Linked DNA regions of Ovis aries. The protein of the gene in region 3 interacts with the protein of the main gene of each other region in a pairwise test. Links are inferred from orthologs where the notes say so. Each region holds a gene or a part of one and is shown on either strand. Other genes may lie near its edges. The genes, in order: APOD, CACNG1 and VAPA.

Region 1 (4,154 bases), on a different chromosome or scaffold from region 3:
TGCCTCCCCTGGCTCCACCTCCCCACGCTACCCTCCACTTGCTGGCTGTCTATCAGTCCAGGAGTAGGCCTGGGAACCTTGGGGACTCCAGGATCACCTTGACTGGGTTTGCATTCTGGCTCTTCACACACTAAGTACAACTGTGTCCAATGGATGCTTTAATTTCCTTGGCATTAAGTGGGAATAATAATCATACCAACCTTGTGAACTTCCAAGGGAACTAAATGAGAAAATATAGACAGCATTTAGAGCAGTATCTGACACAAATGCTCAATAAATGCTATTATGAAATGCAGAAGCAAATTGTTGTATTTCCTGAATTTCTCTTCCTTCCTTCTTTCCTTCCTCCTTCCCTTCCTTTCTTCCTTAATATTCTGTTGAGGCTAATTTTCATACATGCTATACATTTAAGCAGAGGGGCCAGTAGCTGATGTGAGCCCAGAGCCCTTGGGTGCGGAAGCTGCTATTGAGGGGGTGCACAGTGGGCAGGGGTGGGGGCTGCAGCGCTGCTGGAAGGGTCGAAGCCTGGGCTGCTCCCAGCTTCTTTCACTGACTTGCTCTCAGTCTGTTCTCTTCCTTGTGAGTCCTCGCCTGGAGCTGCACGAGAGCTATTTCCAGCTCTTTGCCTTTCTCCCTGTGATGAAGAGGCCTGAATTGAGGCAAGCAAGATGTTCTCAGATTTGAGTTTTTAAAAGAATGTGTCATAACTGGGATAATTATAACCACTTTCTTAAGAATCTCTAAATCTCCAAATAACCTTTAATAATCAATAGCTCTTCTTCTGGAGGTTTTGTTGCGTGTTTTTCAAAAGAACAGTTACATAACGAGTAAAAGTTGGTGTGAGGTTGAGGGGAGGAGGGACGGTCCCGAGTCCCTGCCTTGAGCACGTCTGCGGTGAGGGGGGTGGGGCGGGAGGGGGGCTACTTTCCTTAGTCTCCGAGGCTCCGTTTCCCATCAGCCCCTGACACCAGGTAAACAACATCTGTCTTTTAACCTTTTAGGGGATGATGGATTTGCCAAAATCCAGCCTAAACCCACAAAAATTTGCATTCCTTTCTAAGCCGTGGTTAGAACCACTGAAGTTCTACTCTTGGCCCCTAGTCGGCTCCAGGCTCAGTGTCCTGCCCAGGAGTTCTAAGCTCAAGGATGGCCACACTTTATGCACATTCTCCACGGCCCCAAAACTGGGCAGAAACTTAGAGGTCATTTATCCAACCCCTCCCCTCAGGTGTACCGATGGGGAAGCTAAGGCCCAGAGGGGCAGAAGGCCGGGGCTCAGGCCCCATCTCCAGCTCTCCATCCTGCCACAGCCCTGAACTTTGCTGCCTTCTGTGACCACATTCAGTGGTTTCAGTAAACACCTGCCTCTAATACCTGATGAATCTCATTTCACCACATGACAGTTCGACCCAAAGTCAGCTCCTGACAAACATCTTGTTACAAAATGTTCCGTAGTGAGCTGAAATGTGTTCTTTAGCTCTGCAGGATTTCAGAGCATAGCTAATTATCCCGCCTGCATCTCTTCCAAAGATGCCTCTTTATTACAGTAGTTTTAGTCCTATGATTAAACTTCTTGTGAGAGAAAGAGTTGATAATATCCATCAATTTTACCCAGTGCCCCTTGCATTCTAATTCATGCAATGCTTATTGAGCAAGTTCTGAGGGTATATCACATTATTAACCTGTATCTATGAACTTGGATATGTATGACTTACTTTTGCATCTTCTTCTAACACTAATGGGAAGATGGTCCTAATGAAGAGAGTTCGAATACTTTAAAAAATAGATATAATTTAAATATTATCTTAACTGAATATTAAATAATTAGAAAAGAATTCTGCTAAGGTTATGGTGCATCCACCCTGGGCCAGAATTGACTCTGTGTATTACTACTTACACTCCTTGAGCTTCTCCAGGGAGAAGCCCTGGTTTCAGTATTTTACATGGACCTGAGTCTCTACTACACCTAGTCTGGAAGAGTCCTGCACTAACATTCTCCATGTGCTCAGTGAGGTTACTTCCTGATAAGCTGTGAAGCCAGAACTTGGACCAGGTTTCCTAAGAGTCTACACACCCGCATGATAGTGTGGACCTGGTATCTGGTCTCAAGGAGCTTCAGAATATTAGGGATGAGACTTTTAGATTTCACATGACAAAATAAAATACACTTCCACAAGTATATGGGTCTTAAAAACCATTTTGCTATTGAATATAATAAGAAATCATATCGCCTAAAGAAAATTTTTCAGGAGATAAAAAGCTTTGCATTTTCTGTTAATATTAATACTATTTAATTTAATTATTTTCATAATTAATTCTATTAATACTAAATGAATTTTCAGTTCACACAGCACATTCCAACTCACTTTTTGGTCAGTTTTACTGCAATGCACACTGGATAACCCCCTGAGAATTCATCTAGTACAGTATTGGTGTAGGAATAATTCCTCATTGTCTAATAATAGTGTCAAGGGGGTTGCCTGATGCAGACAGAGGACTTTGAGGTGAGTCTTTTCAGGGTGACACCTCAGCTCTGGCATGTGTTGGTGGTCTTACTTTAGGCCTGTTGCTTAGGATATCTGAACTTCAGTTTCCTCATTTGAAAAACAGCACTAAAAATATCCCCCTTGTAAGGTCGTTTATGGAAAAATGAAACCAAGTCTGCAAAGCAACTGGCCAAAGGCCCTCAATCATCTTAGTTATTATTTTTAGCTGAAATGAGAATTAAAACCACAGTACATACCTTTTTTATCGAGGTGAAAGCAGTTTCCGCACGCAAAATCATCCACTCTGAGATGCCCTGTCTTGGTGACTGACTTCTCCCAAGCTTATTTTATAAGCCTGTTCAGGTCACTGATGTTTAATTTTAAGGCATGCCCCGCCCCCTACAGTTCAGGAAGGCTGGTCTAAAAGCTTTGCTCTGTATGAAACACAAAGATGGGATGTTATATTCATCTCCCTCCCCCAATTTCTTTCACAGCTGCTCTCTGAAGAAGAAACAAGGAGATATTGTTCGTGTGTGTGTGTGAGAGAGAGGGAAAGACAAAGTGTATTTCATTCAAAACATCTTTTTTTGCTGTGTGGATTTTCTAATTTAATTTTCTCAGTCAGAATGCACTTTTAAGTTCCAGTAAGGAGAGTTGCAACATGTGTTCAAACATCTGTTATTTATTTTTCATTTTTTGTGTAAATGAAAAAGCAACAAACCCCGTTTCCCGAAAATGGAGCCTGAATTCCACCCATGTGGTCCCTGGCCTGGAATGTGACACAGCCACGGAGCGAAGGTTAGGAATGAGAGCTGGCTTTCTATGTGATCCTGGGAAAGCCACCCACATCTCAGAGCTTCAGTCTCCCCACTGTGAAGGACAGACTGTCATTTCTATCTCCACCAGAGCTAGGCATGTAGGGCTAAAAGCTGAGAACGCCAAGACATCTTCTGCAGCTTCTCTCTCTGTGCCTTGGATGACCCTCCCAGCTGCAAATTCTAGGCAGTCTGTTCTGCTTGGGGTGAGAGAGGGAATGGGGGCAGAGGCGGGGGAAAATGCAGTTTTAAGCCCAGGGGCACTTTTGGTTGGGCTGCTTCTCTCTCTGCGGAATGACCAGCTTTGGAAAGATTCTTTCTTAGGAACTGGATTCTGTGCCTTTGTGAATATGCAGAGGGTTTTCTTTTATTGTTTAATTGAAGTATAGTTGACTTGCAATGTTGTATTAATTTCTGCTGTACAGCAAGGTGGCTCAGTTACACATATATATTCTTTTTCATGTTCGTTTCCATTATGGCTTATTACAGGATGTTGAATATATTTTCCCACGCTGTACAGTAGGACCTTGTTGCTTATTCATCCTATATGTAATAGTTTGCATCTGCTAATCCCAAACTCCCAGTCCTTCTCTGCTTCCACCTTTCCTCCTCCTTGGCAAACATAAGTCTGTTCTCCATGTCTGTGAATCCATTTCTGTTTCATAGATAAATTCATTGGTGTCGTGCTTTAGATTCCACGTATAAGTGATATCATACGGTATTTGATTCTCTTTCTGACTTTCTTACTTACTATGATAATCTCTAGGTCCATCCATGTTGCTACAAATGGCGTTATTTCATTCTTTTTTATGGCTGAGTAATATTCCATTGAATCTGTCTGTCTATATATCAC
Region 2 (4,111 bases), on a different chromosome or scaffold from region 3:
AGCCATGCCCCTCCCAGTCTTTGCTGAGGAGCTCCGTGCCAGCAGACAGCCGAGCACTCCGCGAAGTGGCCTCCGCCGCTGCCTTAGCCTCTTTCTCCCTTCCTCTTCCCCTCCTCTCCTTCTCCGTCTCTCTCTCCCTTCCTCGTGCTGTCTCCCTCCTTCTCTCTTTCTCTCTCTTTCTTCACACAGCTCTACGTAAGCCAGAGGTGAGAGCTTATGGCCTTCTCAGATCTTCCCTGTGCACACTTGTTGCTCTGTGGACCCTCGTGGCCTCCTAAATTCCCAGGAATATGTTGGGGCTTTTCAAAGCCACCTATCTTGTTCTGCAGTTTTCTGGTGAGCCTATTGTTTGCTCTGTTATCTGCTTCCGTAGGCAGTTAGGATATTAAACAACTGTCTCTAATTGTTTCTGACAAATGCCTCCTGGGTAAAAGACTGCTTCCACGGGATGAGCTCAGAGTCAGGTCAAATAAAGGCAGCCTTGCAAAGGCGAGCTTCTAGGGAACCACCAGACAGATCAGATAATGACACCACTCTGGGAGTGAGGCCTTGAAAGGGGTCCAGCCCTAGTCTGCCCCTTCTGGTGGCTTCCAGGCAGCTGGCTTCACTCTGATGGCAGGCTGTTGTTTTTTGAGCCTGTGACGCAGTCAGGAAGGAAAGAACTGGAATAGCAGCTTAAAAAGACACCACAGACCTCATTGTTCTACTGGGATTCACTCCTCTTTCTTGAATAAGCACTTGCTTATTGCTGCAAGACTGGTTAACTTCTAGAGTTCTGAAAAAGTTTATTCTGACCGTGTTAGCCAATGTTCTCATTGTTTTTATGGAGAAAATAAGTTTTGGAGGTTCTTACTCTGTCTTTTTTTCTGAGGTCACCCAAGGTTAACGTGTGTAATATATGTGTTTGGCAGACAGCGCTGTACTTGTAGATGTTGTTGGTAACTAATGAGAGAAGGCATATGAATTCTATTCCTCCCGGAAACAGTGATCCAGTGGAGCTCAGGCAGGATGGGTGCGGAAGGAAAACGATGTCCCCTTGCAGAGAAAGGAGAGGGGAGAAGGCAGGAGTGCACCTGGACAGCTCATCCAGTGCTCACAGGCTTGGAAGGTGCGATTCACTCTGGACCAGGAGAAGGTGGCCTAGAGGTCGACTCAACTCAGGCTTGCGGCCAGGCCGAGCCGGCGCATCCCCTGTGGCCAGTCCGGTCACGTCCCACCAGCCGTCTCTCCTTGTATAGATTTCCCTCACCACCCTGCTCATCTGCTCTGTAAATTCACCAGGCTTTAAAAGGCCAAGGACAGGTGGACCGTAACAGTGCGATCCCATGCACAGTCCCTGGAGAATGTGCCCTGCCCAGGAGGGCTGGCGGGATGGTGCATCTGTTTATGGGTGTGCTCAGCAGTGGCTGCGGGGCGTGGGCATCTGGGCCACATGATACCCCTCGAGCACATGTCTGTGCCTGTGAGAGCCCTCAGGCTTGGGGCTTGCTGTGTCTTCCAGGTGTCCGGTGGGAGTGAGCAGGGCTGAGCTCTCCTGGGGTCAGCGGGGGGCGGGGGGGGGAAGGGCGAGGAAGGCCAGGGGTGGAGGGGTGAGGGTTGGGCTCCTTCACCCCCCACAGAGACCGCAGGGTCTTCGGGACTTAGCAGTGCCTTTCTTGAAGGGCAGGGTTCAAGGAACACCCAGTCTGATAACAGACTAATTTGAAAACCAGGTGGGACCCTGCACTCACCCCGGTCACCGGCCACCTTGGGGTAACTTTGGAAGGAACGCTGGAGGGGACTTTGGGTTGCTGGGCCTGAGCCCGTGTGGTAAAGGAAGGCGCCGAGTCTGCGACGGGCTTGTCAGCGCCCAGCCCTCTGGGGTGGTGGGCAGGGCCCGCACGGAGCCCAGACTCTGACGCGGGCCCCCGGGCTCCTTCCGCAGCGGGCCTCTGCCCACTGAGAATGTGGAGGCTCCACGCCTGCGGAGAGGCTGGCCACCCTCACACCAGGCGTTCCCCACAAAGCGCCTTCACGTGCGGTCGCGCAGCACTAGGAGGCTGAGGCAGGCATTTAAATCCCAGCGAAGGAAGCGTTTTCTGAGTCTGAAGGGGACCCGGTCGGGAGGAGGCGCAGGGCACACAGTCCTCGCACAAAGCGGTCCCGCCTCCCGGGCGAGTCGCCGCTGGGCTCCCTCCTGCCGCCTTCACGAGGGGGAGCCCTGCACCCCCTTTTGCACAGGGCCCGGCTACCCTTGAGCGGCGTGTGGCCGCACTCCAGCCTGGAATGAACTCGCCCAGGCGGCCCTCCCACCTGAGGCCTGCGTTCGGTGGGGGCCGGGCGTCCAGGCTGAGTCGGCAGACCCGCGTTCTCTTCGCTGAGCCGCGGTCTGTCCGCCCATCCAGACCCCTGCCCGCTGCCCAGCCCCGAGCCCCAGCGCACGGACTAGCTGGAGGCATTGCCCGCGCTCCGCAGCCCGGCTCCGCCCCGCCAGCGCCGCCCGGCCGGCCCACCGCCGCCGCCCAGGCGCGCTCGGGTCTCCGGAGCCCCGTCCTCCCGCAGGAGCGGGCGGGGCGGGTGCCTTACCCCCGGGCAGGGTGATGGGGCCGCAGCTCCTCTCCTTGTCGCCCACGAAGATTCGCTTCGTGCAGATCCGCCAGAGGCCGAAGTGGGCCGCCTCGCAGGTGGCGTTGTGGTGCTCCACGTGGGGGCTCAGCACGGCCCAGTGGTCTGTCACCACGGCCACCAGGGCCAGCACGATGCCCACCAGGATGCAGAGGAGGGCCACTCGGACCTTCAGGGCTTTGGTCGGGGACATGGTGGTCCCGGGGCAGTGGGCACCTGGGGTCTGTCGGCCGAGTCCTTTCGGGCCGGGGGCAGCTGGGCTGGGGCTGCGGGCAGTGGCTCCAGCCGGGGGTGGAAGCTAAGTTTAGCGTGCCGGGCTGAGCCAGGGTGGGCTGGCCGTGGGTGAGGCCACTGGACGGGCTCAGCAGCTGCCCAGGCGTGTCAGAGGCCTGAGGAAGCTTCTATTAATGAGCACCCCGGTGCCTCACCCAGGACGGCTGCTCCTTGGGTTTCAGGGCTGGCTTCCCTCCCCGGGGCCAGGAGCACACCAGGGTGGGGCAGGAGAGAAGGCTCAGGCCAGCTGCAGACTCGCCACCCTCAGAGCCCAGCTCAGGGGTCCTGAGCTGGGAGGGCGAGGGGCACAGGCCTGGCGCTACGGTGCCAGCCTCTTCCTGCTGGGGCTGAAGGAGGAGTGAGCTGCTGGGGGAGGGCACAGACCCAGGACACAGGCCTCTGTCCTCGCGTGGGAGCAGGTGAACGGGGCTCTGTCCTGGGGCCTGGGGGGCCCACCCGGGGCCTCTGGCGCCCACAGCCCAGGGGAGTACGCTCTAGACCTGAACCCCACACCCCAAGCCGCCCCAGGTTGCTCCTGCACTGTTTCCTTGTCAGTTCTCTCCCCTTCCCTCCAACTGGGTCCAGAAGGAAAGCTCCTTCGGGGGCTAGCAAGTCTCTCACACTTCCTGACGCTCGCAAATGGACGAATAGTGTGGGGAGAGCAAAGCCCCCGGCCTGACCGGAGCGCAGCGCCACTGCTGCTTCCGTTTCACTGTTGTTCGTCGCCAAGTGGTGTCCAGCTCTTTGCAACGCCATGGACTGTAGCACGCCAGGCTTTTAGTTTTAGGTTTACTTTCTATTAATGGCAGGTAATAAGGATTTTCAGGTTATATTGTCCTTTACAAAGTAACTATACTTCAGTGAAGAAGAACAAAAGTAGACTGATTTACAGGTGACTGTTAAGTGGCTACTGGGTGTATGGATTCAGCAGAGGACACTTGGGGTTTGGGACCACCAAGCAAGGGTCCTGACTCCTCCCTCATGTCCACCCATCCCACCCCCTGGCCGCAGGCTGGTACTCCAGGCTGGAGCCCCTACACCCTTCCGGGTCTGTGTCTCCTCTCTCAGGCCACCAGGAGCCTCTTTTGGGGTGTAGTCAAGGGGCTGATGCATAGCCAGGAGAAGACCCCTGAGCCGGGTAGGGGTTTGACTTCTGAAATCCTGGCCTCAGGCTGACACAGCTTACAAAAAGACTCTCTGTGTGAGGAGAACCATCTGAGGGTCTAGCCGTGGA
Region 3 (3,646 bases):
ATGCAAGGACCGGAATGCGTGTATACAATGGAATGTTACCCAGCCATTAAAAAGGAAACCCGGCCATTTGTGACAACATGGATGAACCTTAGGGGCATTACACCAAGCGAAGTGAGAGAAAGACAAATACTGTATGATGAGCTCACTTATACACGGAATCTTAAAACAACAACAAAGTCCCAAACTCTCAGAAACAGAGATCAGGTCTGTGGCTAGAAGAGTCGGGTATGGGGAGGAGCGACTGGATGAAGGTGGTCAGAAGGTACACACTTCCATATAAACAAGATAAACAAGAACTGGGGATGTAACATACAGCATGGTGACTACAGTTAACACTGCTGTGCGGTACACTCAACACCTGTTAAGAGAGCAGATCCTAAGAGTTCTGATCACAGGGGAAAACAGTGTTTTTTTGGTAGCTGTATGAGACAATGAGTGTTAACTAAACTTACTGCAGTAATCGTTTCACAATGTATGGAAGACTAATCTTTATGCTGACACCTTAAACTTATACAGCATGTCAACTACAGCTCAATAAAACTAGAAATAAAACAAGTCAACCCAGACAATGTGCTACTGTGCTTTCTTGGTTCCGGTAAGAACTACACAAGCTCTTAGCCTCCTGGCAGCCTCAGCAAAAAAGAAAGTGAACTCTATGTGGGAAGTGTCAAAACTTCATCAGTGCTACTACACCATCAGAACCTCGCTCTCCAGTAAGAACATGTGTTCACATTCTCTATCTTTGGCAAATATTTCAAAACCACCTTAAAAAGGCATTAAAAACACAATAAATGATTTGGTCAACACCTAATTGCCACTCAGGCACTTTTTTATTTCAGCTTATCCTCAAAGAGAAACACAATAATGGAGCCCATGTATTTAACTTGCAAGTTTACTTTTCAACAGGGGAAACGGCTTCCAGAGCAAAGACAACAGTCATGTCAGATTATAACCTAATTGTGCCAAACCATGCTATGTGTTCATATTACTTTACGTTAAATCACATGCACACAAATCTAAAGACCCCTGAAGTCCTCCTAAAACCACAGAAAACATTTAAATTTGAATTTCACAAAAGGAACAGAGAAAGTGACCACAACCCATTCTCTAAGGCTATTTTTCAAACTCTCTCTCAAATTTTATTTGCTTCACACTAATCAAAACGCAACATGAAAATCACTTACTAAGGGATAAAATCAGAGTTATTTTGACAAATAACAATAGTGAACAAAATACCTGGGAATAGCCAAATCTGGAATAAATGTAAATTAAATGTCCATGTAAATTAAATCTTACCCGCAGACTGCAGGTATATAGCTGCTAAAAGGGAGTTTATGTCTGTAACTTAATTATATTTATGTATACACACATCTTATTCTAACGAAGAACTTGAAGTGGTTTAAGTGGTAAGATTTTGGTAGGAAGAGATGGTTCTTCTCCATCATGCAGCTTTTTAAACTATTTCTTTTTTAATCATACTTTTAATCAAAAGTTACCTTAAAAGTACTTTTCCTCTTGAACAAATAAAATGTTATAACACAAAAAGAGCACGTCCACACCATGTTTTTAGAAAAAGCCTGAGCACCGAATCTGGAACAGCTGTATCCTACATCACACACCCACCAAGGCCGAAACCAGCAGCAGAAGTTAAGTCTCAGTGTAAGAGCTGAGCAGCTTCCAAGTTTCTTAAATTTTCCTACTTACCAATTTATCGTTTTCATTGGGCATTTCAAATACACATCTCAATTTAGAATCCATTAATTCATCGGGTTTTGCTTCTTTCCACTAAAAACAAAGGAAACCAAACAATGAGACAGAGGAAATACAGTTGCGACAACTAGGTTTCCTCTCGAGGGACTAAAGGGTTAGAGTAGCTGCCTGGAGGCAGGGGTTGGGGGGTTTCCAGGTGCCACAGAACTTTCTACAGAACCTTATAAGAGCTACTGTCACCACCATTAAAACCTCACTGACATCCCTAGAGATGACCGGGCTTCACTGTTAGCACTGGACTTCTAATCCGTCTCTAACAAATATGACTTCAAAATTCCTTCATTCTTGACATGAGTTAGGATTATCCATAGTAAAGAGATGTACATATTTTTTTAATTTTAAAAAGTAGGTTTCTCAACGAAGAACTAAACAAAACCCAAGTTTAAACAACATTCCCCCAAAAGATTTCTGTTCAATTTTTCTACTCACCACAGCTTCCATGTCTGAAATGTTTGGTGGAGCAAAGATGGTCTGTACCATAAACTTGTGTTTACTCTTCTCATTGGGGTCATAGTCAAAAGGCTGCAGCATTACTGAAGAAGAAAGGACATATCACTGACTTTTGACCATTCCCAGCACTCACTCTCTAATTTGAAAATTTAAAGAAAACCAGCAAAGCTGCAAGAAACACTGGATTATTGAAGTTGATTCAGAATCAATTTTATGATTTTCAATTATTTTTACCTTGTCTACGTTTTTAAGTTGCTACATCTTTAACAACCCACAAAATAAACAAATGACTATTTTAAAAAATAAGTATCTATAAGTGCCCTCTCTAAACTTAAGTTTGGAAAATTTTCAAAACTTTGCTAACATTAACTATTACAATGCCTATAAACTCAAAATCTAGTAAATTTGTATTTAAAACCACTTATAAATTTAGTTTTCACATTAGTATTTAGTGATAACAGCTCTTAAAATCAGACAACTAGAATATTTATAGGAGAAATTCTAGGTAACTTAAAACTCACTACCATTCATTAGTGCTTCAATATAACTAGCTTTTTCTAAAATAGATTTTAAATAAACACCTATTCAAGAGTTTATCAGTGTGTTTAAATGAGCCTAAGACAACAAAGTGTAGAAGGAGACCATACAGCCTCATGATTTCTGAACTTTTTCCACTGTCCTACTAATTATATTTAAAATTTTTTACCAAGCATTTATGGTTTTCAATGGCCTACAAGAGGTTTTTTAGAGGCTCTGTATGGTTTAAATTATGTAATATAAATCTAATAAGAGATTATAAAGAATGAATCAGCAATTCCACAAAATATGTACACAATACTGTGGAGTTAACTTTCCTGCTAATATTTAGATTATTTCTAAGACAGATGTCAACATTTTCAAAAACTCAGATGAAATTAAGCAAATGCAAGAAATAGCAATTATATAAGAACTTCTTCTTTATAAGGTAGGTCTGAGAGATCCTTAACTCCCATCATGGTAAAAAAAAATTTAACAGCCAAATATACAACAGTAGAAAATGCACAAGACAGGGGGAGTCCCTGGTGGTTCAGTGGCAAAGAATCTGCCTGCCAATGCAGGAGACGTGGGTTCAATCCTTGATCCGGGAAGATTCCACAGGCCACAGGGCAACTAATAAGCCCTTGCGCCACAACTACTGAGCCTGTGCTCTGGAGCCCAGGAAACACAACTACTAAGCCCAAGTACCTAAAGCCTGTGACCTGCGCAAGAGAAGCCACTGCAATGAGAAGCTTGTGCACCACAGCTAGAGAATGCCCACCCAGCAACAAAGAACCAGCACCCATAAAAACATGAATCAGCAAAATTGTGGAGAAAGAAAAGAAACGCACAGGATAAATGTGTGTTTATCCAGATAACGCACAATGTATCTCCAGGAACACCTTTCACT

What was found.
Region 1: the proteins of VAPA (region 3) and APOD interact in binary tests that used the Homo sapiens proteins (3 or more experiments, as listed by UniProt). The two-hybrid records come from large-scale screens. The link is inferred for Ovis aries from reciprocal best matches to the Homo sapiens genes VAPA and APOD.
Region 2: the proteins of VAPA (region 3) and CACNG1 interact in binary tests that used the Homo sapiens proteins (3 or more experiments, as listed by UniProt). The two-hybrid records come from large-scale screens. The link is inferred for Ovis aries from reciprocal best matches to the Homo sapiens genes VAPA and CACNG1.

The regions. Positions count from the first base shown.
Region 1 is NC_056054.1:192,884,197-192,888,350, reverse strand, and holds the start of APOD (apolipoprotein D), read right to left. Parts: upstream 2,811-4,154; 5' UTR 2,786-2,810; coding exon 2,744-2,785; intron 1-2,743. UniProt on the Homo sapiens protein: APOD occurs in the macromolecular complex with lecithin-cholesterol acyltransferase. It is probably involved in the transport and binding of bilin. Appears to be able to transport a variety of ligands in a number of different contexts.
Region 2 is NC_056064.1:62,288,341-62,292,451, reverse strand, and holds the start of CACNG1 (voltage-dependent calcium channel gamma-1 subunit), read right to left. Parts: upstream 2,905-4,111; 5' UTR 2,798-2,904; coding exon 2,566-2,797; intron 1-2,565. UniProt on the Homo sapiens protein: Regulatory subunit of the voltage-gated calcium channel that gives rise to L-type calcium currents in skeletal muscle. Regulates channel inactivation kinetics.
Region 3 is NC_056076.1:42,429,387-42,433,032, reverse strand, and holds part of VAPA (vesicle-associated membrane protein-associated protein A), read right to left. Parts: intron 2,304-3,646; coding exon 2,200-2,303; intron 1,786-2,199; coding exon 1,705-1,785; intron 1-1,704. UniProt on the Homo sapiens protein: Endoplasmic reticulum (ER)-anchored protein that mediates the formation of contact sites between the ER and endosomes via interaction with FFAT motif-containing proteins such as STARD3 or WDR44.